3 linked regions of the Diceros bicornis minor genome follow. The protein of the gene in region 3 interacts with the protein of the main gene of each other region in a biochemical or structural test. Links are inferred from orthologs where the notes say so. Each region holds a gene or a part of one and is shown on either strand. Other genes may lie near its edges. The genes, in order: FBXO21, NR0B2 and EID1.

Evidence for each region.
Region 1: of the proteins of EID1 (region 3) and FBXO21, one has a biochemical effect on the other in vitro, tested with the Homo sapiens proteins (2 studies listed by BioGRID, with this or other methods). The link is inferred for Diceros bicornis minor from reciprocal best matches to the Homo sapiens genes EID1 and FBXO21.
Region 2: the proteins of EID1 (region 3) and NR0B2 form a complex in vitro, tested with the Homo sapiens proteins (3 studies listed by BioGRID). The link is inferred for Diceros bicornis minor from reciprocal best matches to the Homo sapiens genes EID1 and NR0B2.

The regions. Positions count from the first base shown.
Region 1 is NC_080774.1:14,386,460-14,393,789, reverse strand, and holds the start of FBXO21 (F-box only protein 21), read left to right. Parts: upstream 1-4,258; coding exon 4,259-4,497; intron 4,498-5,368; coding exon 5,369-5,504; intron 5,505-7,330. UniProt on the Homo sapiens protein: Substrate-recognition component of the SCF (SKP1-CUL1-F-box protein)-type E3 ubiquitin ligase complex.
Region 2 is NC_080752.1:42,664,945-42,672,217, reverse strand, and holds NR0B2 (nuclear receptor subfamily 0 group B member 2), read left to right. Parts: upstream 1-4,716; coding exon 4,717-5,257; intron 5,258-6,173; coding exon 6,174-6,472; 3' UTR 6,473-6,710; downstream 6,711-7,273. UniProt on the Homo sapiens protein: Transcriptional regulator that acts as a negative regulator of receptor-dependent signaling pathways. Specifically inhibits transactivation of the nuclear receptor with which it interacts.
Region 3 is NC_080744.1:45,426,175-45,433,258, forward strand, and holds EID1 (EP300-interacting inhibitor of differentiation 1), read left to right. Parts: upstream 1-4,688; 5' UTR 4,689-4,929; coding exon 4,930-5,505; 3' UTR 5,506-6,556; downstream 6,557-7,084. Other genes in the region: SHC4 (SHC-transforming protein 4), read right to left, coding at 277-330. UniProt on the Homo sapiens protein: Interacts with RB1 and EP300 and acts as a repressor of MYOD1 transactivation. Inhibits EP300 and CBP histone acetyltransferase activity.

The sequences.
Region 1 (7,330 bases), on a different chromosome or scaffold from region 3:
CTCCCCACTCCCTCCTCCCTCCCAGCCCCTGGTAACCTCTCATCTCCATTCTGTCTCTATGAATTTGCCTATTCTAGATGTTTCACGTAAGTGGGATCATACAATATTCATCCTTTCGTGTCTGGTTTCTTTCACTTAGTGTAATGTTCCCAAGGTTTGTCCATGTTGCAGCGTGTATCAGTGCTCCATTTTTTTTTTATGGCTGAAGAACATTCCGTTGTGCGCGCATACTACATTTTACAAATCTTTTTAAAGGCTAAGTACGCCTCTTGCCACTATTACAACCCAGGAATGTTTTTCTTAGGGACCTGGGAACTATCTCTTTGAAATGTAAATATCAGGGAAGATAATGTCCCTATCTCCCTGTGACCATGGGAGTTTAACATGAGCACCTTGTTCCCAGCTGTAAGCACCTGCTTGTCGTAAAGATGAGAAGTTGTATTATTCTTTGAGATGAGGGCAGTTAGCTAGCACAATAGGTACCCCAATTACCGGGTGAGCTTAGGATGAACTAGGAAAGAATGCATGAACTAGGACAGGTGTGGTCAGGTCCTCTTACCTGAGGACAAGTTACCACTAATCTCGAGAGCACGTACGTGAGGCAGTGACTGGTGTATATAAAAAGGGTGGGATTTCTCTCTGTCTTTGTAATCTCATCAGCGGATTACCTGTGATGTGCATCACAGTCTGGTTTAACGCTTATTCAATAATAAAACTGTTCTCCATCTTTTCTAGAGTCACAGAGAGGATTTTCTGGATTGGCAAGCGATTTTAGTATCTTAGTCATCTTTGATCAGAAGACAGGAAGCAAGAAGGAGGGCCAGGATGTCACTGATAAGAAAGCAAGAGTTGTTCACAAGAATGACTTACCAATCGTCTGTGCAGTTGGGGGGGTCTACCTTCTGCCCGACTGGGTGGAAACTTGGTTTATCAAGGTCTGAGCATCATCAGGGCTGATTTTCACATTCTTAGGGCCAGGGTGGAAGCCAGGGGAACAGTTAGGAGCCACAGAGGGGGCATGGACTAGGGCAGTGGCTGAGGAGACTGAGAGAAAGACACAGATTTGAGAAAAATTAGGAATGATATTTTGGAAAAGAAAATGGCATCCCCGTTCCAAAAAAAAAAAAAAAGTTTCCCTGAAGAAACTGAGACACAGAGAACTTAACCTCTGTTGGGCATTTGAATATGGAGACTGCTTCCAAGCGCACTTAAGACAAAAATCTCAGCCCTTTCTCTCAGATCCTGTGGGGTCTGACAACAGTGAGGACATGCAGTGTTTGAAAGCACGGAATCTGGAGACGCCACCTGATTCCAGTTCGGAGCTGCCCAGCTGAGCCCTTCTCCATTTCCTGGCCCACAAAACCAAGAGCACAAAAACGAGGTTGTTTTAAGCCACTAAGTTTTGGGTTTATTTGTTATGCCGCAAGAGTAACTGATATATATGCATTGTTTCATTTAATAGGAAGATCTATCATTATCCCCATTTTATAGATGAGGAAACCGAGGCACAGAGAAGTCAAGATCTATTGGGTATTTGGATATGGATGGTGAGGGAGAGAGGTGCCAAGGATGGCAACAAGGTCCAGTTTTGCAGGAATGGATGGATGGGCAGCCTTTCCCAAGGCAGGAACCATCAAGAGAGGACAGGATAAGTGGGGGTGGGGGTGTGAGTTCACTCTTGGATAAGTTGAGTTTCAGGGCCCCAAAGGGAATGTCAGGGGAGCAGCTGGCTGAGTAAGCCTAGATCTCAGAGGAACAGGCTGGGCCAGAGAGGGAAATGTGGACATTTAAACTGGGTTTGGATCATCATTCCAGCTGTAGACAGGGGTGAGAAAGTGAAAGAACGGGGCCTGTGGCTGAGCCCCAAGATACCCCAACATGTACCATCTGGGGGAGATGGCAAAGGAGACTGAGAAGGACCTGCCCTAGGGGTAGGAGGAGAACCAGGAGAGGCTGGGGCCACAGAGGCCAAGGGGAACCAGCATTTCGAGGAGAAGCAAGTGGTAAATAGTGTCTGCAGGGGGAAGACAAGAACAAGGCCAGGAAACTTCCACTGAATTGAGAAGCGTGGCGGTGCAGACTCTCTCCTAGATCTACCAGACTCCAGCGGCTGCTCTAAACCTCTCTGTTTTAATGACTAGGAGCAGCAGCAGCAGTACCTCTGTCCCCGCCCCCCCATTCATATGTTGAAACCCTATCCCCCAGGACCTCAGAATGTGACCAGATTTGGAGACAGGGTCTTTAAAGAGGCCATTAAAGTAAAATGAGGTCATTAGAGTGAGCCCCAATGCAATATGACTGGTGTCCTTATAAGAATAGGAGATTAGGTCACAGACACACACACAGAAGGAAGACCATGTGAACACACACGGAGAAGAAAGCCATCTACAAGCCAAGGAGAGAGCCTGCAGAAGACCAACCCTGCCAACACCTTGCTCTTGACTTCTAGCCTCCAGAACTATGAAAAAATAAATTTCTGTTGTTTAAGCCACACAGTCTGTGCCATTTTGTTATGGCAGCCCTCGCAAACTAACATATGCAGTAACACACAAAAAACTATTGAGGTGAAATTCACATAACATAAAATTAAACCATTTAAAGTGATTCAGAGGCATTTAGTACATTCACAATGTTGTGCAACCACCACCTCTATCTAGTTCCAGACATTTCTATCACTCCAAAATAAAACCTGTTCCCTTTAAGCAGTTTCTCCCCATTTCTCCATAACACTGTTTTATTGAGTACTTTCTCTGTGCCAGGTACAGTTCTGTACACTTTACACAAATGTACTAATTCTAACACAGCCCAGGAGCCCAGCATTATTATTATTTTCTCCATTTTACTGACGAGAAACTGGACCTCAGAAAGGCCTGCGATCAACAGATAATCATTGAGAATCGGCTACGTGCCAGGCCTGGGCCAAGTAACTGGGCCTCTGGAGGTGAATCAAACACAGTCCTGATCCTGAAGTTGCTTCTGATCTAGTGGGAAAGACACAGGTTGAACAAATAGTTATAAATTAAGCAAATAGTTACAAGATTGCAAAATGTTGGGAAGGAGCCATATCTGGTGCTGGGGGCTGGGGTGAGGGAAGGGAGGGCATCTGGGGAGGTTAAGCTAAGGCCTGGAGGAAGAGGAGGAGCAGCTGGAAGGAGGGCATGCTGGCACAAAGCACATTCCAGGCAGTGGGAATAGTATACATGTGAGGGACAGAAGCACCAGGAAAGAGACCAGCCTGGCTGGGGCGTGGCTAGTGAGGGAGAAAATGGCCTCAAAGAGGCAAGGAGAGGCAGACAGGAGTCTTTCCCTTTGCAACAATGTTAGAGATTTCAGATTTATTTCTAAGGGCCATAGGGATCCATGGATGGCTTAACACCATCCATTGACAATAACTTTACTTGTTCAACTCTTTCAGGGCATTCTGATTTCCAAGTTGGGAGGACACTTTATTGCGCCTCCATGTACTGACAACAGATTGTTCTATACCTGTGTGTCCCCCTAATTGGACTTTGAGCTCCTGGGAGGCAAGGGCACCATCTCACTCACCTCTGTCCCCCCAGGGCAGACAGCACAGGGCTTGGCACTGAACTGGGCTTAAATATGTATATATAGAAGAGGCCCCACTCACACCTGTGTGGTAACTCCTGCTTTGAGGGTTCAGATCCAGGCTCTACCACTTGTTGTCTCTGTGACTTTGAACCAGTGACTTCCACCTTTATGAGCCTTGTTTTCCTTATCTGTAGAATGGTATAATTGTGGTACCTATCCTAGAGGACTCAAATGAGGAGTCCCTGAAGAACGTATGTAAAGTGCTTCGCACCGCACCCACTCAAGAATATTGTGTGTTGTTATTACAGTCAAGCAGAAGTCAAGCGGATCTGGATTAGAATCTAAGACAAGGGACTCTGAGCAAGTCTGTTCATCTTCCTGAGCCTCAGTTTCCCCATCTGTAACCTGGGGAGAGAAACAGTGCACCGGCTTCTTGGGAAGGTCCGAGGAGCTCATGCACAGGAAGCGCTCAGCCCACACGAGAAAGATGGATGCTACCCCGGCTCCCGGCCCACAGCGCAGTTCTTTTCCAAAACGCATTTCCTTCCCTTGGCGGCGGCGCAGTCCTGGAGCGCGACCCGGGAGGAGGGGGCGTGGCCACGGACGTGGGCGGGGCGATGTCGCGCCCGCCCCTCGGGCCGGTGGGCGGGGCGAAGCGGGGCGCCCCGGCGTGTGCGTGCGCGCGCGGCGGCCCAGGTACGCGGACAAGATGGCGGCGGCAGCGGGCGAGAGCGCGATGGACGTGGTGCCGGCGCTGGCGGAGGAGGCCGCGCCGGAGGCGGCGGGCCTCAGCTGCCTCGTCAACCTGCCGGGCGAGGTGCTGGAGTACATCCTGTGCAGCGGCTCGCTGACGGCCGCCGACATCGGCCGCGTCTCCAGCACCTGCCGGCGGCTGCGCGAGCTGTGCCAGAGTAGCGGGAAGGTGTGGAAGGAGCAGTTCCGGGTGAGGTGAGCCAGCGCCCCGCTGCCCGAGCCCCCGCTCTGCGCCCCCCGGGCCCGGGCCCGGCCGGCCGGCGCCGCTGCCCCTCCCCGCGCGAGGACCCCACCCCCGTCGCCCACCCCGGACCGCTTCCCGCGGACCGACAGACAAAGGCCTCCAGGCCGCCGGCCCCTCGGGTCCACGCCGCGCGGACCCTCCGGTGCCCAAATTGCGCATCGGGGGGCGCCCAGCCGCCGGGCCCTCCCTGAGGGATGACGACGGTAGTGCCACGGCTCACCCAGCCCGCGCGCTTCTTTTGTGCCCGACTCTGTGCTAGGATGTTTACATGGATCCGGTGATGCGCTGAGCCTCAGCCCTGGAGGCAGCGGGCGCAGCATCCCCGGGTTGTTGGCCGAGAGCACAGATTTCCGTGGGGGACCCGGCATAAAATCTGGCCCTGGCACACTCGCCGTATGACCTTGTGGGTAGCGGCTTCCCTTTTTTGAGCCTCGTTCGTCGACTTGGAACGGTGATCCTGAGACCCACCTTTGTGGTTATTAAACCAGAAGATGTGTAGGGAGCATTTGCACAGGGCCCGGCTCTTGGGAGGCGCGCAATAAATGTTAACTGTCATTGTCATCGCTATTACTGTTGCTACGACTGTCCCCATTTTATAGATGGGGAGTGGAGACGCAGCATTCCTTTTGCGACGCCAAGGTCACACCGTGAGCGAGTGCGTGCGTGCCGGATGGAGAGCTGAACTAGGTCCACCGCCGGGGGCCCTCTGACCACTAAACCGTACCGCTTTCCCTGTTTTCCAAGGCTGCCTTTGATTCGTGTCTGTCTGCCCGCCTGCCTTTGAGTCTCTCTGAAGCTGAGGGGGTGTTTCTCTCCTTGTAGGTGGCCTTCCCTTATGAAACACTACAGCCCCACCGACTACGTCAATTGGTTGGAGGAGTATAAAGTTCGGCAAAAAGCTGGGTTAGAAGCCCGGAAGATTGTAGCCTCCTTCTCAAAGAGGTTCTTTTCAGAGCACGTAAGGATCTGTTGATGTAGCTCTACGCTTCTGCCTGGTAGTGGTGTCTGCGTCTGGGTCTGGAGCGTTAGCTCATCCAGCGCTTTTTGATATCTCCCTTTTCAGTGCTCTCACAATCCCTTACTCACTTAGACGGCTGCAAGAGTCATTGTGTCCTTTTCCTCCTCTCCGACAACATGAAGCCATTTGTCCCTGCCAGCTTGAGTTTACTAAAGCCAGAGAGAGAATGGGGGTGGAAAGGGAGGCAGGGACCTGCAACACAATGTGAAGGGAATTCAGATCAGCGTTATTTCTTTGCAAGTGGGTTAAACGTATTTTTTGCAATCTCCACGTGATTTGGGGGATCATCAGTGATTGAACACTACAAATTTCACCCCGTTGTTTTCCCAGAACGTTTGACAAAGTTAATATGGTTCTTCTCTCTGGCTTTGCAAGTTTTAACCAGTAGTAAACTGCATTGTTTGTTAAGGTAACAGGATTAAAAGCTATCTGTAAATCAGAAGTATTACTCCCTCAATTAAAATGTTTTGCATTCATTATCCTGATAAGTTTGTTTTTTTAATATTGCTGAAATGCATGGGGTTTTTTTTGGTTTTTTTCCTTCCACAGAGTCTCTCACAGCAGTTTCTGTATCCGATCCTGATTCTCAACTTTTTGTAACTCTGGAAAATAGAAAAAATATTTTAAATTTGTTTCACATTAGGGATCTAGAAATAGAGCCAATCTGATGTATTTTACTATCCTGGTTTACTGAAGATAAATCTCTGTTTTCTAATTTTAATTACTATTACTTAACGGAATTCATACATTTGAAGTATTTTCCAGGCTTTTCAAGTTTTGAAAGGGAAAATTTGAACTTGGGACAAATTTGACCTTATTCCCCTATGGAGAATAAAACTAGATATTTCCTAGAGTGGTTCATTTCTATAAATAAATGTTTGTTAATGTTAGAAGGGACAAAATTACGTTCAACTTTGGATAAGCTGGCTAAAGCATTCATAATCACAGATTTTAAATACTGGTTAAATGTGTTTGTACCCACATATATTTGGGTGCTAAATATGTTTGATGCCCTTGGTCATGGGCTACTGGTTTGCAGCCTCTACTTCTAGTCCAGCTGGTTTTATGTGCATTTTTAACAGCCTGTGCCTTTGTCTAATAATGATGAATTGTTGTGTTTTTTCCTTAGCTCCCTCTTTCCCTGTACCACTGCCTAATTAGAAGTATGTCAAGGACTTTGAATGTAGCAAGAGTATACTTAAGATTGATCTGTGGGCGGGTGATTACTTTGGCTCAGGACCCTTGTATTCCTGTGTTCTCTGCGTGCACATAGGTTGATGTGAAATTTCCTGGCTACTTTCAAAAAGAAAAGTGGGAGAAGTAATAGAATTTTAAACCAAGGGGACCTAAAAGCCGATTGGTACCACCACCTCAATTTACAGAGGAGAAAACATGCCCAGTGGGTTGAATTGCCAAAAGCACTAGACTTCTCTCTCTGCCCTCCTCTCCTCGTGGAGTGCAGTGTAGACTGCACAAGATAGTTATTGTGAATTAGGAGATTTTGTATTTCTAGTTATTTTTTCAGAGCTATTTTTCTTCACATTAGAACTCTTGAGTTAGCAGTTTCAGAAATTCCAGTCTATGAAAATATAACTCATTTGCAACTAGCAAGATCTGAACAAATTGTTACTTTGCATGTTACTTTCTAACCATCCTGGGTGGTGCAAGATAGTGCACTTATTTCATTCCATGAAAATAAGCATCTTTGTTTGCAACTCAGTTTTGTGTAAGAGAGTGGCAATGACATTATTCCTTTTTATTGAGGC
Region 2 (7,273 bases), on a different chromosome or scaffold from region 3:
ATGGCCGGAGAAGCAGTGTGTCAGTGCACACCCAGGATCCGAACCCGGGTCGCCAGCAGCGGTGCACGAGCACTTAACCGCTAAGCCACGGGGCTGGCCCTAGAATTTTATTTTTAAAAATCATTGACAGCTCTACTTCCTCCTCCTCCTGAAAATTTCAATCCTAAAACTATTAGCAGAACAAGGTACAAATATGCACCAGAAGAGAGAGGGAGCCACAGCAGCCCAGAGCAGAAGTTAGAGCTCCACCAGGGTGCGGAGGGCGTCCACACAGAGAAGCCACCTGGTGTTGGGTGACAGATCCCCAGCTGCGTGAAGAGGGCGTCCCCGAGGGGGAGGGGGCACCTGACACAGGTATCAGAGCCCAAGTGGGGTAGGGAGACATCTCACAGGGGAGGGGGCGACAGTGGAGATGGAAGATTAGTTACAAACGGTGGCTTTATCCAATAAGTAAAAAAATTAAGAATAATGGAAGCCAGATTTCTGAGTGTCGGAGAAGGGAGGTGTAAATACAGAAAGAGCGAAAACTAGAATGAACCTTGTTTTAGTGGATTAGAACTGCAGATAATGATCTGAACTCATGTTTTTTAGTATATGTATGAATAAATATAGAAATAAATATAAATGTGTGTGTGCGCGCGCGCGTGTGTGTGTGTGTCTGTACATTCCTTAGCTCTGGGACGGCCTAGGAGCAGTGACACCCTAATAGCAATGAGCAGATCTTGGTTTTTAAATATTCTAGTCCCCAGATTATGGTTTTTAAATACTCTTCTCCACTAGAAGATTGAATCAGAACTTCTTGGAGTACTGGTTGATTCCAGGGGCTTGAAAAGTGGTATCTTCTTATACCAGAAGACAAAGGATGTTCAAAGAATGATGGGGCATGTCAAAAAGACACAGACTCCGGCTTGAAGGGGCTCCCATTGGCCAAATCTGTGACAATTTTAGCATCAAAATAATGATAGTAACAGATTGCAAGCCACTGAATAAAATAGGAGACCCTGCGTTCCTAACTAAATACATACATACATACATTCAATGTATGAGGAGGAATATATAGATAGTTTTAAAATACATCCTCATAGGGCCGGCCTGTGGCTTAGCAGTTAAGTGCGCGCGCTCTGCTACTGGCGGCCCGGGTCCGGATCCTGGGTGCGCACTGACGCACCGCTTCTCCGGCCATGCTGAGGCCGCGTCCCACATACAGCAACTAGAAGGATGTGCAACTATGACATACAACTATCTACTGGGGCTTTGGGGGGCAAAAAAAAAAAAAGGAGGAGGATTGGCAATAGATGTTAGCTCTGGGCCGGTCTTCCTCAGCAAAAAGAGGAGGATTAGCATGGATGTTAGCTCAGGGCTGATCTTCCTCACAATAAATAAATAAATAAATAAATAAATAAATAAATAAATAAATAAATAAATAAAAATACCTCCTCATAAAATACTGATTCATTACAAAGAGGAAAAGATGAACTATAGTGGAGAAGCTTGGCAGCCATCACCTTAATCAAGTGACCAAAGTGATCAATGGGACAAATGGAAAAGTACGCTCCCTGATAGGATGTATCAAGAGGAACACAGTACCACTTCTGTGATATTCCTGCTAAAGATACATAGCCTGAGCAATCACAAGGAAGCCTCAGACAAACCCAAATTGAGAGCCATACTACAAAATAACAACTCTCCAGAAGTGCCAAGGTCGTGAAAGGCAAGAAAAGACCAAGGATACTTCCTGACTGATAAAGACTAAAGAGACATGATAAAGAAATGCAATGTGAGATTCTGGGCTGAGCCCCTCCACCACCACAATTTCACTGGAGCATTTGGTGAAACTTAAATGGGGTCTGAGATTAGATGTTAATTTCCTGATTTTTTTCCATGTTAATTTCCTGATGTCGATGGTTATGCACTATATATTGTGGTTATATAGGAGAATGTCCTTGTTTGTAGGAATTACACACTAAAGTATTTGGGGGTTATGGAGCATCAGGTTGGAAGTTTACTCGCAAATGGTTCAAGGTTAAAAAAGTTCTCTGTACTGTACTTGCAAACGTTGTTTGTGATGGTTTCAAAATAAATATCATTGACATGAGAAGAGGTGAACAAAGAGTGTGCAGCTAAAACACGTAGGTAAATATTGTCAGGCAATTGATCAGTAAAAGTACCTTGGTATTCTCCTGGGTTTGCAATGTTTGTGTTTTCTGTTGGCTTATTTTAGTTTGTAATTTGTAGAGATTTGTTTTTTCATTTTAATTTTTTTTATTTATCTATTTTTCCCCCCAAAGCCCCAGTAGATAGTTGTATGTCATAGTTGCACATCCTTCTAGTTGCTGTATGTGGGATGCGGCCTCAGCATGGCCGGAGAAGCGGTGCGTCAGTGCGCGCCCGGGATCCGAACCCCGGCCGCCAGCAGCGGAGCACGCGCACTTAACCGCTAAGCCACGGGGCCAGCCCATGTTTTTTCATTTTAAATATTCACTTTCATACCTGATTTTCTATTCTTAAAGAAGGCCCTTCAGATTGTATAAGCTTCATACCCCATAAAACCAATATCCACTATTGGCCTTTCTTACCACCCTTTTAAAGATGAGGAAACTGGGCCAGCCCCGTGCCTTAGCGGTTAAGTGCACGTGCTCCACTGCTGGTGGCCCGGGTTCGGATCCCGGGCGCGCACGGACGCACCGCTTCTCCGGCCATGCTGAGGCCGTGTCCCACATACAGCAACTAGAAGGATGTGCAGCTATGACGTACAACTATCTACTGGGGCTTTGGGGGAAAAAATAAATAAATAAAATTAAAAAAAAAATTAAAGGTGAGGAAACTGAGGCATCGAAATATAAAGTGACTTGCTCAAGGTCTCTCATCTAAGTGATGAAGCAGGATTTGGACCCAGGCGGTCTGACTCCAGAGTCTCCTTTGAGGGGACACTGTGAGGATTCAGTGAGATAAAAGGACGTGAAAGGGGGGCTGGCCCGGTGGCGCAAGTGGTTGGGTGCGCACGTTCCGCTGCGGCGGCCCGGGGTTCGCCGGTTCGGATCCCGGGTGCGCACCGACGCACCGCTTGTTAAGCCATGCTGTGGCAGCGTCCCATATAAAGTAGAGGAAGATGGGCATGGATGTTAGCCCAGGGCCAGTCTTCCTCAGTAAAAAAGAGGAGGATTGGCATTGGATGTTAGCTCAGGGCTGGTTCTCCTCACAAAAAAAAAAAAAAAAAAAAAAAAAAAAAAAGGACGTGAAAGGAACTTTGTAAATGTAAGGATTAAGATTATTGACAATCAAATGAAAGATGCATGCCCATTTGTCTGCTGGGGCTTATTTCCTTAGGCAGAGGGAAGCGGGGGCAAAGCCCTCCTACTGTATACCAGAAACTGCTTGGAATTTGACATCCAGGACCTCACTTTGTCCTCACAGCAGCCCTGCAGGCAGACAGACATTATTGTTCCAGGTGAAGCTCCTGAGGCCCACAGAGATTTGGGGATCAGCCCAAGGTCACACAACTAGAAAGTGATAGAGCCAGGAGCAGATGCCAGGGATGGTGATGGCTGCCCAATGGTGTGGTAGCAGAAGGCTTGCCAGGCTGGGCTTGCCAAGGTCCACAGATATGACACAGCCGAGGACCTTCCCACCCGCTTTCATAATCCACGCCCCACCGTCTGAGACAGATGCCCAGGACAGAGGAGTCATGTGGCTGGCGGCAGAGCAACGTTTCTACTCAGATTATAAGTGGGCGGCAGCAAGGTGGGGGCCCAGGTAGTCACCAGCTCTGGGAAACCCAGGCCACACAGCTCTGGCTACACAATTGGGCCAGTGGATCCGGAGGAACAAGCAAAGACTTTGGAGTCAGATAGATCTGGGTTCTGTCTCTTTTTAGTGGCGTGACTTTGGGCAAGTCACTTCACCTCTTTAAGTCTCAAAAAGTAAGACTCCTGCCTCATAGGGAAGCTCTGAATATTAGAGTGGAAAAATACCTGGCACATAGTGGGTGCTTAATAAACAGCAGCCATATTGTATTATCATTCTGGGATGGCAGGAGCTCTAGGAATCCAGACTGGAGAGAGAGTTCTTAAGGACCTTATTTCTGCAGGGCCCCTCAAACTGGAGTCAGTCCACTCCTAGACTGCACAGTAGGCAAAGTCCTCTCAGCCTCCTGGGGTCTTGGCTCCCTTCCCTGCAGCCTGTTCCTTACCAACAACAGCAGCAGGGCCCCAAGGTTAGGCAAATAAGCCAGCGATAAGGTACTTCCAGGTTGGGCCTTGTGTTCAAGGCTTGTCCAGCTCGGGCTGGCTTCCCGGTTTAGCGAGAGTCTCACAGGCACCAATAGGGACACTTGCCATGGCCACCTGCTGATCGTGCACCTGAGGCCTTGGTGCCCTGGTACAGCCTGGGTTAATGACCCTGTTTATCCGCTTGAGTCATCCGATAAGGGGCAGCCAGGACAACGGGCAGGTGGCCCCATGCCCTGCACCGGCCACTTCATTGACTAAAGCAATATCAGGGCCACGTGGAGCTCCCAAGGCCCCCCCTGTCCCCTGCCACTTCCCCACTAGTCCTGCCAGGGTCAGTGTGTGTTTCTTTTTTTTTCAATGAACATGACTTCTGGAGTCAAGGTTGTTGGGCTGTTCCCTCCTCCCCACCATTGGAGATATAAATAGCACCCACAGCACAGAGCAGAGGGCGGGAGAGCTGGGAGGAAGGAGGAGCAGAGCCTCAACCATGAGCTCCAGCCAGCCAGGGACCTGCCCATGCCAGGGTGCTGCAGGCCGCCCAGCCATTCTATATGCACTTCTGAGCCCCAGCCTCAGGGCCAGGCCCTCTGTGGCCCCAGCCCGTGGCCACTGCCTGTGCAGGCAGCACCGGCCTGTCCAGCTGTGTGCTCCCAATCGCACCTGCCAGGAGGCCTTGGATGTTCTGGCCAAGACAGTGGTCTTCCTCAGGAACCTGCCATCCTTCTGCCAGCTGCACCCCCAGGATCAGCGGCGGCTGCTGCGGGGCTGCTGGGGCCCTCTCTTCCTGCTTGGGTTGGCCCAAGACACTGTGACCTTCGAGGTGGCTGAAGCCCCGGTTCCCAGTATACTCAAGAAGATCCTGCTGGAGGAGCCCAACAGGAGTGCAGGCAGTGCCCAGCCGCCTGATCGGCCCCAGCCCTCTCTGGCTGCAGTGCAGTGGCTTCAGTATTGCCTGGAGTCCTTCTGGAGCCTGGAGCTGGGCCCCAAGGAATATGCCTACCTGAAAGGGACCATCCTCTTCAACCCTGGTGAGCTCCTAGGCACTCCTGGATGGGGGCTAAGGCTGGAAGGGAGCAGGGCCCAGCCAGGGAAGGCAACTTCTAAGGGCTTGACATCTGTTATCTCTTTGAGTCCTCATTATCACCAAATAGTTATCTCACAAAAGAGGCTCAGAGAGGCTAAGTGACTTGCTAAAAGTCACACAGCCAGGTGGGGGCAGAGCAGGGATGGGAACTCAGGTCTATTCCAGAGACTTGCTCTTGCCACTCTGCCCAAGAAACATGCCCTGACCCTCAGGGAAGGTGGGAGTGGGGGAGGGGAGGGTGGACAGACACAGCTGTGCCTCAGTCACAGGTAAAACTCTGTAGTTTCAGAAAGACCACGTAGAGAAGAGGAATGAAGACGAGGGGGTGTGGGGAGGAGAGGGAAGAGTCAACAGATAAAGGTAGTGTTCTTTGTAATCTGGAGAGCTTCTAGACGAGAATTCTTCATCAAAGGGCCCTCACAGAATGTGTAAACTAAAGTAATTAATTATAATAATTATACTCATATAACAGCTAATACTCATATAACACTTACCATATGTTAGGTCCAGTTCTAAGGGTTTTACATATACTAGCTCATTTAAACCTCATAACAAGCCTAGGAGATTGGTACTATTATTATCCCCATTTTACAGATGAGGAAACTGAGGTACAGAGATTAAGTAACTTGCCCAAGGTTACACAGCATGGAATTCAAACCCAGGCAGCCTGGCTCTTAACCATTACTCTATACTGCCTCTCCATAAATGGATGGATGAATAAAATGATAAATAAATAAATGGATGAGGTAGTAATGGGGCCTCAAAGGCCGAGCTGGTGGCCTCAGGTCTTGGGCCAGCCTTGCCCTGTGGTGTCTGGGAGTGGGGTGCTCACCAGCCCTCTTCACCTTCTCTGCCCGCAGACGTGCCAGGCCTCCACGCCACCTCCCACGTCGGGCACCTGCAGCAGGAGGCTCATCAGGCGTTGTGTGAGGTCCTGGAGCCCAGGTGCCCAGCAGGCCAAGGCCGCCTGGCCCGTGTCCTCCTCACAGCCTCCAGCCTCAAGTCCATTCCGCCCAGCCTGCTTGGGGACCTCTTCTTTCGCCCTGTCATTGGAGACATTGACATAGCTGGCCTCCTCGAGGACATGCTTTTGCTGAGCCAACCTGCTCCAGCCCAAGCAGAGATCAGGTGTAGGGTGTGCAGAGGCTGGCAGCACTGATTTGGCCTGGCTGCCTGTCCCCAGGGGTGACCCAGTGCTCCCAGAGGATGCAAACCTGTACAGACAGCACTTGGCTCCTGAAGAGCAAGCTGGCCCTGGCCCAGCCACACCCCATGTTGGCCTTCCTTGGTTTGGACACTGCTCCAGCTGTCTGGCCGGCCCTTGGTGGTCCCAGAGCCTCTGGGCCAAAACTCCTGTCCCCTCCTGGGATGGGGATGAAAGCTTAGTCTGCTCATTGGGCCAGGAGTCCTACTGACTTTGTACAGAAACGACTTAAGTTATTGGTTTTTGTAATAAAAGGTGTGACAAACTTGGAGCTGACACTGTAGTTTGTCCCTGAGGAAGGAACCATCTCATCGCCAGCACCCACCCTGCCCCTATCAGAGGGAGCCCAAGAGGAAGGAACCATAAGGGGTGCAGGAGCCAGGCCTCAGGGAACTGGGATATTAATTTTTCAGGATGGAATGACGATTTCATTTCTGGAGATGAGATTTATTTTGCATGGGTCTGAATCCAGGGGATAGTATCAGTTCAGGACCCCCTCACCTCCTTGCCTTTATCTTTGGGGGGAGAGGGTATCTCTCCCTCTCCCCAAATCCCCCACGGACCTCTCTCTCAGCTCCTGCCCCAGGCTCCCTCTCACCTCAGTGAGAGTCAGGTCACAGCCAACGAGGAAAATGAAGCTGCCCATTCCAAAATTGAAACAGACAAGGTCATTGGAATTTCTGCAGTTTGGAATCATTCACTTCCCCCATTCCTGCAGCCCACAGAAGAGGGTGGTCCATTGTTCTCTGATCCGGA
Region 3 (7,084 bases):
CTTGTTTTTCATGACTTGGATGTTATCTACAAGAAGCTTCTCAGATGATACCTCCATGGCTAATAACACAATGGAGTATTATTAGCTCATCTACTAATCCAAATATTTTTAAAATCAGTGACAGGAAATATTTTTTCAAAACCAAATTTTTTATTACCTGCTGCATGTAGCTATTCACAAATTGTACTAAGATATTTGAAAAAGACATGTAGTGGCAAATATGCTTTACATGGAAGTTAACTCTTATAAAAAGAAGCTTTATGAATCCATACTTACAGGATCCCCTCCAGAGGCAAATGAAATAGACTGCATATGATGATTTGCAATAATCTGGAAAACATAAACAAATTAAACATGTATGATGTTATAAATTAATTACTCCTAGTCATATACAATCTAACAGTAATGGACATACATGTGTTTGTTTTGGTTTTGCCTGCTTAGCATCCCTTTGGAAGCCACTCCACCACATTCTATAATAATCTCATTTAGACCAGGAGGTTCAGGTGGGTTTGACATGTCGCTTTCACTGCCATTCTCCTTGCAGGTGGATACACGATCCAGGCCTTGCCAATCAGAAAACACCATCCCTCTGGATACAGCAAAGCCAATCAATGTCTTTGGGTTGGAACTGAGGTGGATAATAAGAGAGAATGCATCTCTCTCCGCCATTAAGGACTGTGTACACCCAAAGCTTCTGGGAGCCATCTTGTGCTGCCATGAGGGAAAAGCCTGCAGGAAAAGGAAGTTTTCTCTCTGGAGAAAATCAGAACTGAGAGTTAAAAACGGGAAAAAGTCTAGTGGTAACATTTGTTTCATCACTTCAACCAATACATTTACCCCCTTCCTTTATCTTTTTATGTATTTTTAAATTTTATTTATGTTTATATAAGTTAGTTTGAATTGGGTTTCAGTGATTCACCACCAAAAGTCTCCTGACTGGGCTGGCCTCATGGCGTAGCGGTTAAGTGCGTGCGCTCCGCTGCTGGCGACCTGGGTTCAGAACCCGGGCATGCACCGATGCACCACTTGTCAGGTCATGCTGTGGCTGAGTCCCTTATAAAGTGGAGGAAGATAGCCACAGATGTTAGCCCAGGGCCAGTCTTCCTCAGCAAAAAGAGGAGGATTGGCATGGATATTAGCTCAGAGCTGATCTTCCTCACAAAAAAAAAGAAAGAAAGAAAAAAAATGTTTAAAAAAAAAAAAGTATCCTGACTAAGGCACTAACAGTAAGACTTTCAGTACGAAGTAAGACTATCCAAGAGAACTGCATTAGCTAGCCAAGAAGATTGTCTTTTTTACCTGAGATTCTATTTGGAAGCCCCAGTGTAACGGCCCGTTTGCAGAGATGTATTTGTCATACTGTTTTGAAGTTTCATTAAAACCCCAACTGTGCACCTATTAGCTAATCCTGTCTTCAGAATCTACTACAGCTGCTTATATAAGAGGACCAAGCAATTCTACTCTTAGATGTATGTCCAACAGAATCCTGTAAATATGTGCACCAAAAGATATTCTAAAGAAAGATAATCGCTGCCTTGTTCATAATAGCCCCAACTGGAAACAATCCCAATGATGACCATTGTGATATTCAACTCATGGACTACCACACACAACAACATATATCTTGGGCAAAAGAAGCCAGACACGAAGAATTATACTGCATGGTTTAAATTATTTTATTCTGTTTGAAGTCAGAATAGTGGTGACTTCTGGGGCAAAGGAAGAGACCACAGGTGGTTTTCCGGGATCCTGCAAATGGTGTTTCTTGATCTGCGTAGTGGTTAAACAAATACGTTAATTTTGCGATAATCAAGCTGTACACTTATGATTTGTGCACTTTTCTATATTTATGTTTTCTAAATTCATATTTCAGTTCAAAATAATTACTAAAAGCAAAATCAATATACAAAGATCAATGTCATTTGCACATATCAGCAAAAGCCAACAGAGACTGTATTCAGGGGGTGGGTGGGGAAGATACATTTTATAAGAGCACCTACATGTAAAACTAATAAAAATTGTGTAAGGCTTTTTGGAAAACTTCACTCAAGGATATAATTAAGACTTGAACAAGTAAAAAGATATGTATCACCTTCATGGATGAGAAGACAATATTGTAAAGATGTCAATTCTCCCCCAAGTTAATCTATAAATTCTGTGCAATTCCAACAAAAATTCCACCAATGTCACTCAGGGAACTTTTCATGCTGCTTCTAAAATTCACATGGGAGAATAAATGTGCAAAAAGAGATAAAGCCATTTTTTAAAGAAAAAAGGGACAAGATTTTTCCTTATCAGATAGCATGACATATAAAGACATATTCAAGTTGTTTCTAAAATTCATATGAGGGCCGGCCCCGTGGCTTAGCGGTTAAGTGCGCGCGCTCCGCTGCTGGCAGCCGGGGTTCGGATCCCAGGCGCGCGCAGATGCACTGCTTCTCTGGCCATGCTGAGGCCGCGTCCCACATATAGCAACTAGAAGGATGTGCAACTATGACATACAACTATCTACTGGGGCTTTGGGGGAAAAAATATATAAATAAAATTAAAAAATAAAATAAAATTCACATGGAAAAATAAATGTCTAAGAAGAGCTAAGACAATTTTTTAAAGAACAAAGAGACGAGATTTTCCTTATCATCAAGCATATTCTAAAACTACAGAAATTCATTAGAATACAAAGTCTGAAAACAGACTCAGGGCTGGCCCCGTGGCTTAGCGGTTAAGTGCATGCGCTCCGCTGCTGGCGACCCGGGTTTGGATCCCGGGTGCGCACCGACGCACCGCTTCTCCACCCATGCTGAGGCCGTGTCCCACATACAGCAACTAGAAGGATGTGTAGCTATGACATACAACTATATACTGGGGCTTTGGGGGAAAAAAATAAATAAAATTATAAAAAATAAATAAATAATAAAAACAGACTCACATATTCATGGACTTTTAGTCTATGATAAGTGTGGCACCAAACAGCAGACAAAAAGACAAATGATTAAATTAGTGGAGTTGGCTGAATTAGCTATATATATGGAAAAAATATATAAACAAATTCTGTCTTTTGTGTGTGTGTGTGTGAGGAAGATCAGCCCTGAGCTAACATCCATGCCAATCCTCCTCTTTTATTTTGCTGAGGAAGACTGGCCCTGAGCTAACATCCCACCCGATCTTCCTCCACTTTATGTGGGACACCGCCACAGCATGGCCTGACAAGGGGTTTGTGGGTGTGCGCCCGGAATCCGAAACCAGCAGAGCACACGCATTTAACTTCTACGCCACGGGTTGGCCAAACAAATTCTGTCCTCATACTACTTATATAAATAAATGTTTGATTCATAAAGATCTAAAAATATATTAGAAGACAAAGATAGAATATAGATCTACAAAGACAGAAACAAAGATCTACAAAAACATTAGAAAATAAAAGATTATGCTTGTGATCTCTGAGGCAGGAAAAATCCATCTTAACAGAAAGAAAAAGACATACAGAAAAAAAAACCTTAAATTTTATTACATCAAAACTCATTTTAAAACTTTTGTATAAGAAAAGACCCTTTGAAACAGGACAAACAACAGGCAGGCAGAATATATTTGCAACATGTAAAAAGTATTCATATAAAGAGTTTATGAGGATTCCTACAAATCAATAAGAAGAAACTCAAATAAGACCAATAATTTTCAGAATAAGTAATACAAATGTTTGATAAACATATTGAAAGATAATCAATCTCCAAGAAATCGAGGCTATGGAAAACAAAACAAGATACCATTAAGTTGATAAATTTGTTAAAGTTCAACAAAAGCATGTGTGGCAAGGGTATGGATCTTCTCAGACACCGCTGACTAGAGCTTAAATTTGTACAGCAACTTTGGAGAGCAATTTGACAGTATTTATTAAAACTAAAGTATGCATACCCTACGATTCCACCTTTCCACTTTTGGGTATTTAGTCTAGAGAAACATTGGTGGATGTTCATTTACCTATAGTTTATAGTATCAAAAAATTGAAAACTATTTGTGCATAGTTAGGTCAACTATGCCACAGCTATACAAATGGAACGCTATGAAAAAATATATATCTTTGTATACCAACAAAGCTAAATCTTCAAGATATTGCTGAGGGGTTTTTGTTTTGTAACTTGAAGACAGTTATGAGACGTAAAAACACACACACACAAAATAAGCTTTTTACACGAATTCATAAAAATCTATGTAAATGCAAAGAAACAGGATTTGAAGAATACACACCAAATCGGTAACAGCAGAAAGTTACCTCCTGCAAAAAGAAATGGGACCCCGTATCTCTTCACTATAATTTTCTTTAAAACGTACACGGATAATATGCTTATGTGTGAATTTAACTTTTTTTTAATGAGGAAAATAGAAGAGGTGAATGGATCAGTTCTTAACATGTCGATCTGTGGTTGAGAACACTGTGTGATTTGGAGGTGTGGATTTGTAAGTCATTAGCTCCTAGATAGATAACAGGTAGTGAAAACCTTGGAGCAGATGCGATTGCCTGGAGCGGGGGGAAGAGGAGGAGGGCGGGGGGAGGAAGGGGGGAGGAGCAGGAAGACGCTGGGTAAGCGTCGTTACAAAGGCTGTGTAGAGTATCTTCAAGTTTACAGCATCAGCAGAACGGTTAAGTGAGGCGGAGACTAAGCAACGGGCTAGTATTTACAGTCTCTAGGCATGACGTTCGACACAAGGGATACCCAGACCACCGAGCCACGCTGACGCCCCCTGCAGAGCAGCCACCAGCTCCCGCCAGATCAGGGCGCCAAGCGGGAGGCGGGATCCCCCAAGCGGGGGTCGCGCAGACGCACGAGGTTACGCAAGCGCACGGCGTTAGCGCACGCGCACAGCCGCGCGGCCGCGTAGCTCCGATCTTGCTGAAAACGCTGTGCGAGAGGTTGAGCTGCTGGTACGATGTCGGAAATGAACGAGCTGTCCGAGCTGTATGAAGAGAGCAATGACCTGCAGATGGATGTGATGCCTGGCGAGGGTGACCTTCCGCAGATGGAGGTAGGCGGCGGGAGCCGGGAGCCGTCCCCGAACCCCGCCCGCCCCGGGGCCCCGCCGCAGCTCGAGGAGGAAGGCCCGATGGAGGAGGAGGCGGCCCAGCCAATGGCGGGGCCGGAGGGGGAGCGCGGCCTTGCTAACCGGCCCAGCCCCGGGGAGCAGCCGGGCCAGGTCGCGGGCCCCGACTTCGAGAGCGAGGACGAGGGCGAGGAATTTGACGACTGGGAGGACGACTACGACTATCCGGAAGAGGAGCAGCTGAGCGGTGCAGGTTACAGAGTATCTGCGGCCCTCGAAGAAGCCAACAAGATGTTTCTGAGAACATCCAGAGCAAGAGAAGCAGCCCTGGATGGCGGGTTTCAGATGCATTATGAGAAGACCCCGTTTGATCAGTTGGCTTTTATCGAAGAGCTTTTTTCACTTATGGTTGTCAATCGTCTGACCGAAGAACTCGGCTGTGATGAGATTATCGATAGAGAGTAGTTAAATGCTGTTAAAAGAGGAGGAAGCTACTTGAGGAGAGACCCAACATTCCACTGTCTCTTGGGTTCATTCCAGATAGTTCCATGCCAATGAAAAACTTGATCTTCAAAAAAAGTCTTGTTTTGCAGAATAGAATAGGACAGTGACTGTACAGTTGCGAAAAAGGAAGAAAATTGTTGAAGAATCTTAGGACTGTTAAAACCTGTTTTCAAGAATGTCCTGAAAAACACCTATGGCTTTGACTTTGTTGCTGATCCAGAGTATTTTCCTTGCATTGGGGAAAATATCTTTCATATTTCACTGTAAGGGATGGTTTTGCAAGAATAAGTCATGACCAAGACAAACTGCCAGCACAAGAGCCCACTGATATATCCAACGTAGGACACAAGATGAGTTTGAGTTATTTGGACTGAAAGCCTATTGAGAAAACTTTGAAGATTCCACTTTGTGATCTGTCCAAGCCACAATTATCAAAGGCTAAATTTTTAGTGGAAGATAAATTGAGTATTCTTCAGTATCCCAAAAAGAAATATGTATCACGTGTGCTATATCTTAAAATGTGTTTCCAAGAACATCTGAAATTTTGTTTGTACATATATCTCGATCATTTATAAAGCTACTATGATCTATAATTCAAGAAAATTCATTGTCTTAACCATTTTTAAAAGTCAAAAATTAAGATGTTAATAAAGTTTCAGATTTAGACTTTAAAATGTATGTGCAAGTACAAAGAAAACAAACTATTTCTAACACCCTTCTATACTAGAGAAATTTTCTGTTTTACTTGCTCTCTGTTTTTCATTTAACTGTACAGGCAAAAGACTTGGGTTGAACTTCATAATTAAGAACTGTTAAGTGAAAATTGTCAAGTAAAAGAAAAGCCCTACATCTAAAAAAGACCTGAACAATTATGCTGTCAACCTTTAAAAGTTTTAAACCTGACTGGAAATCCACCTCAGTATTTGAAGTTTCCCTCTGTCTCCTCCTCTAAATAAGCTTGTTATTGGTTATGCACCAGCATTCAAGATAATAAAATTTCTTGTTCTGTGTATTTTGTTTGGCTAATAACATTGCATACATACTTTCTCTAATGCTTTATATTGGATTATACTATTTTATTGTATTGCAACCACTTTATGATATAAATTTAACCACTTTATAAGGGAAAGTGCTCGAGCTTCAAATACCTACTGTAGATTAATTTGTGGAAATTAAACTTAATGAATTCCTGTAAGAGAATTTACCAACCTGGGAAAGCCTGCCCTATCAATGAGCATGTTGCCGTAGTTATTTTTTTAAGATGCTGAAGTTCTGTGAGAAGAGGAATCATGTCAGAGGGCTGTGCCCAATAAAACTGAGTATATCAGTGGGTCTTATCATGATTAATCAAAAGGTATCAGATGTGCCTGCTTCGTTATGGTAGTAAAGGCCACATCCAATACAACAAGACAGCTCAGCCTTATTTATGTTAACGGTCATCCTGTCTTGTAGGGAGAGAGTTTCTTTTCTGTAAAATACAGAAATGACAAGGATGATCATAATCAAACACTAGCTTGGTGGGGAGAAGGAGAGAGAGATA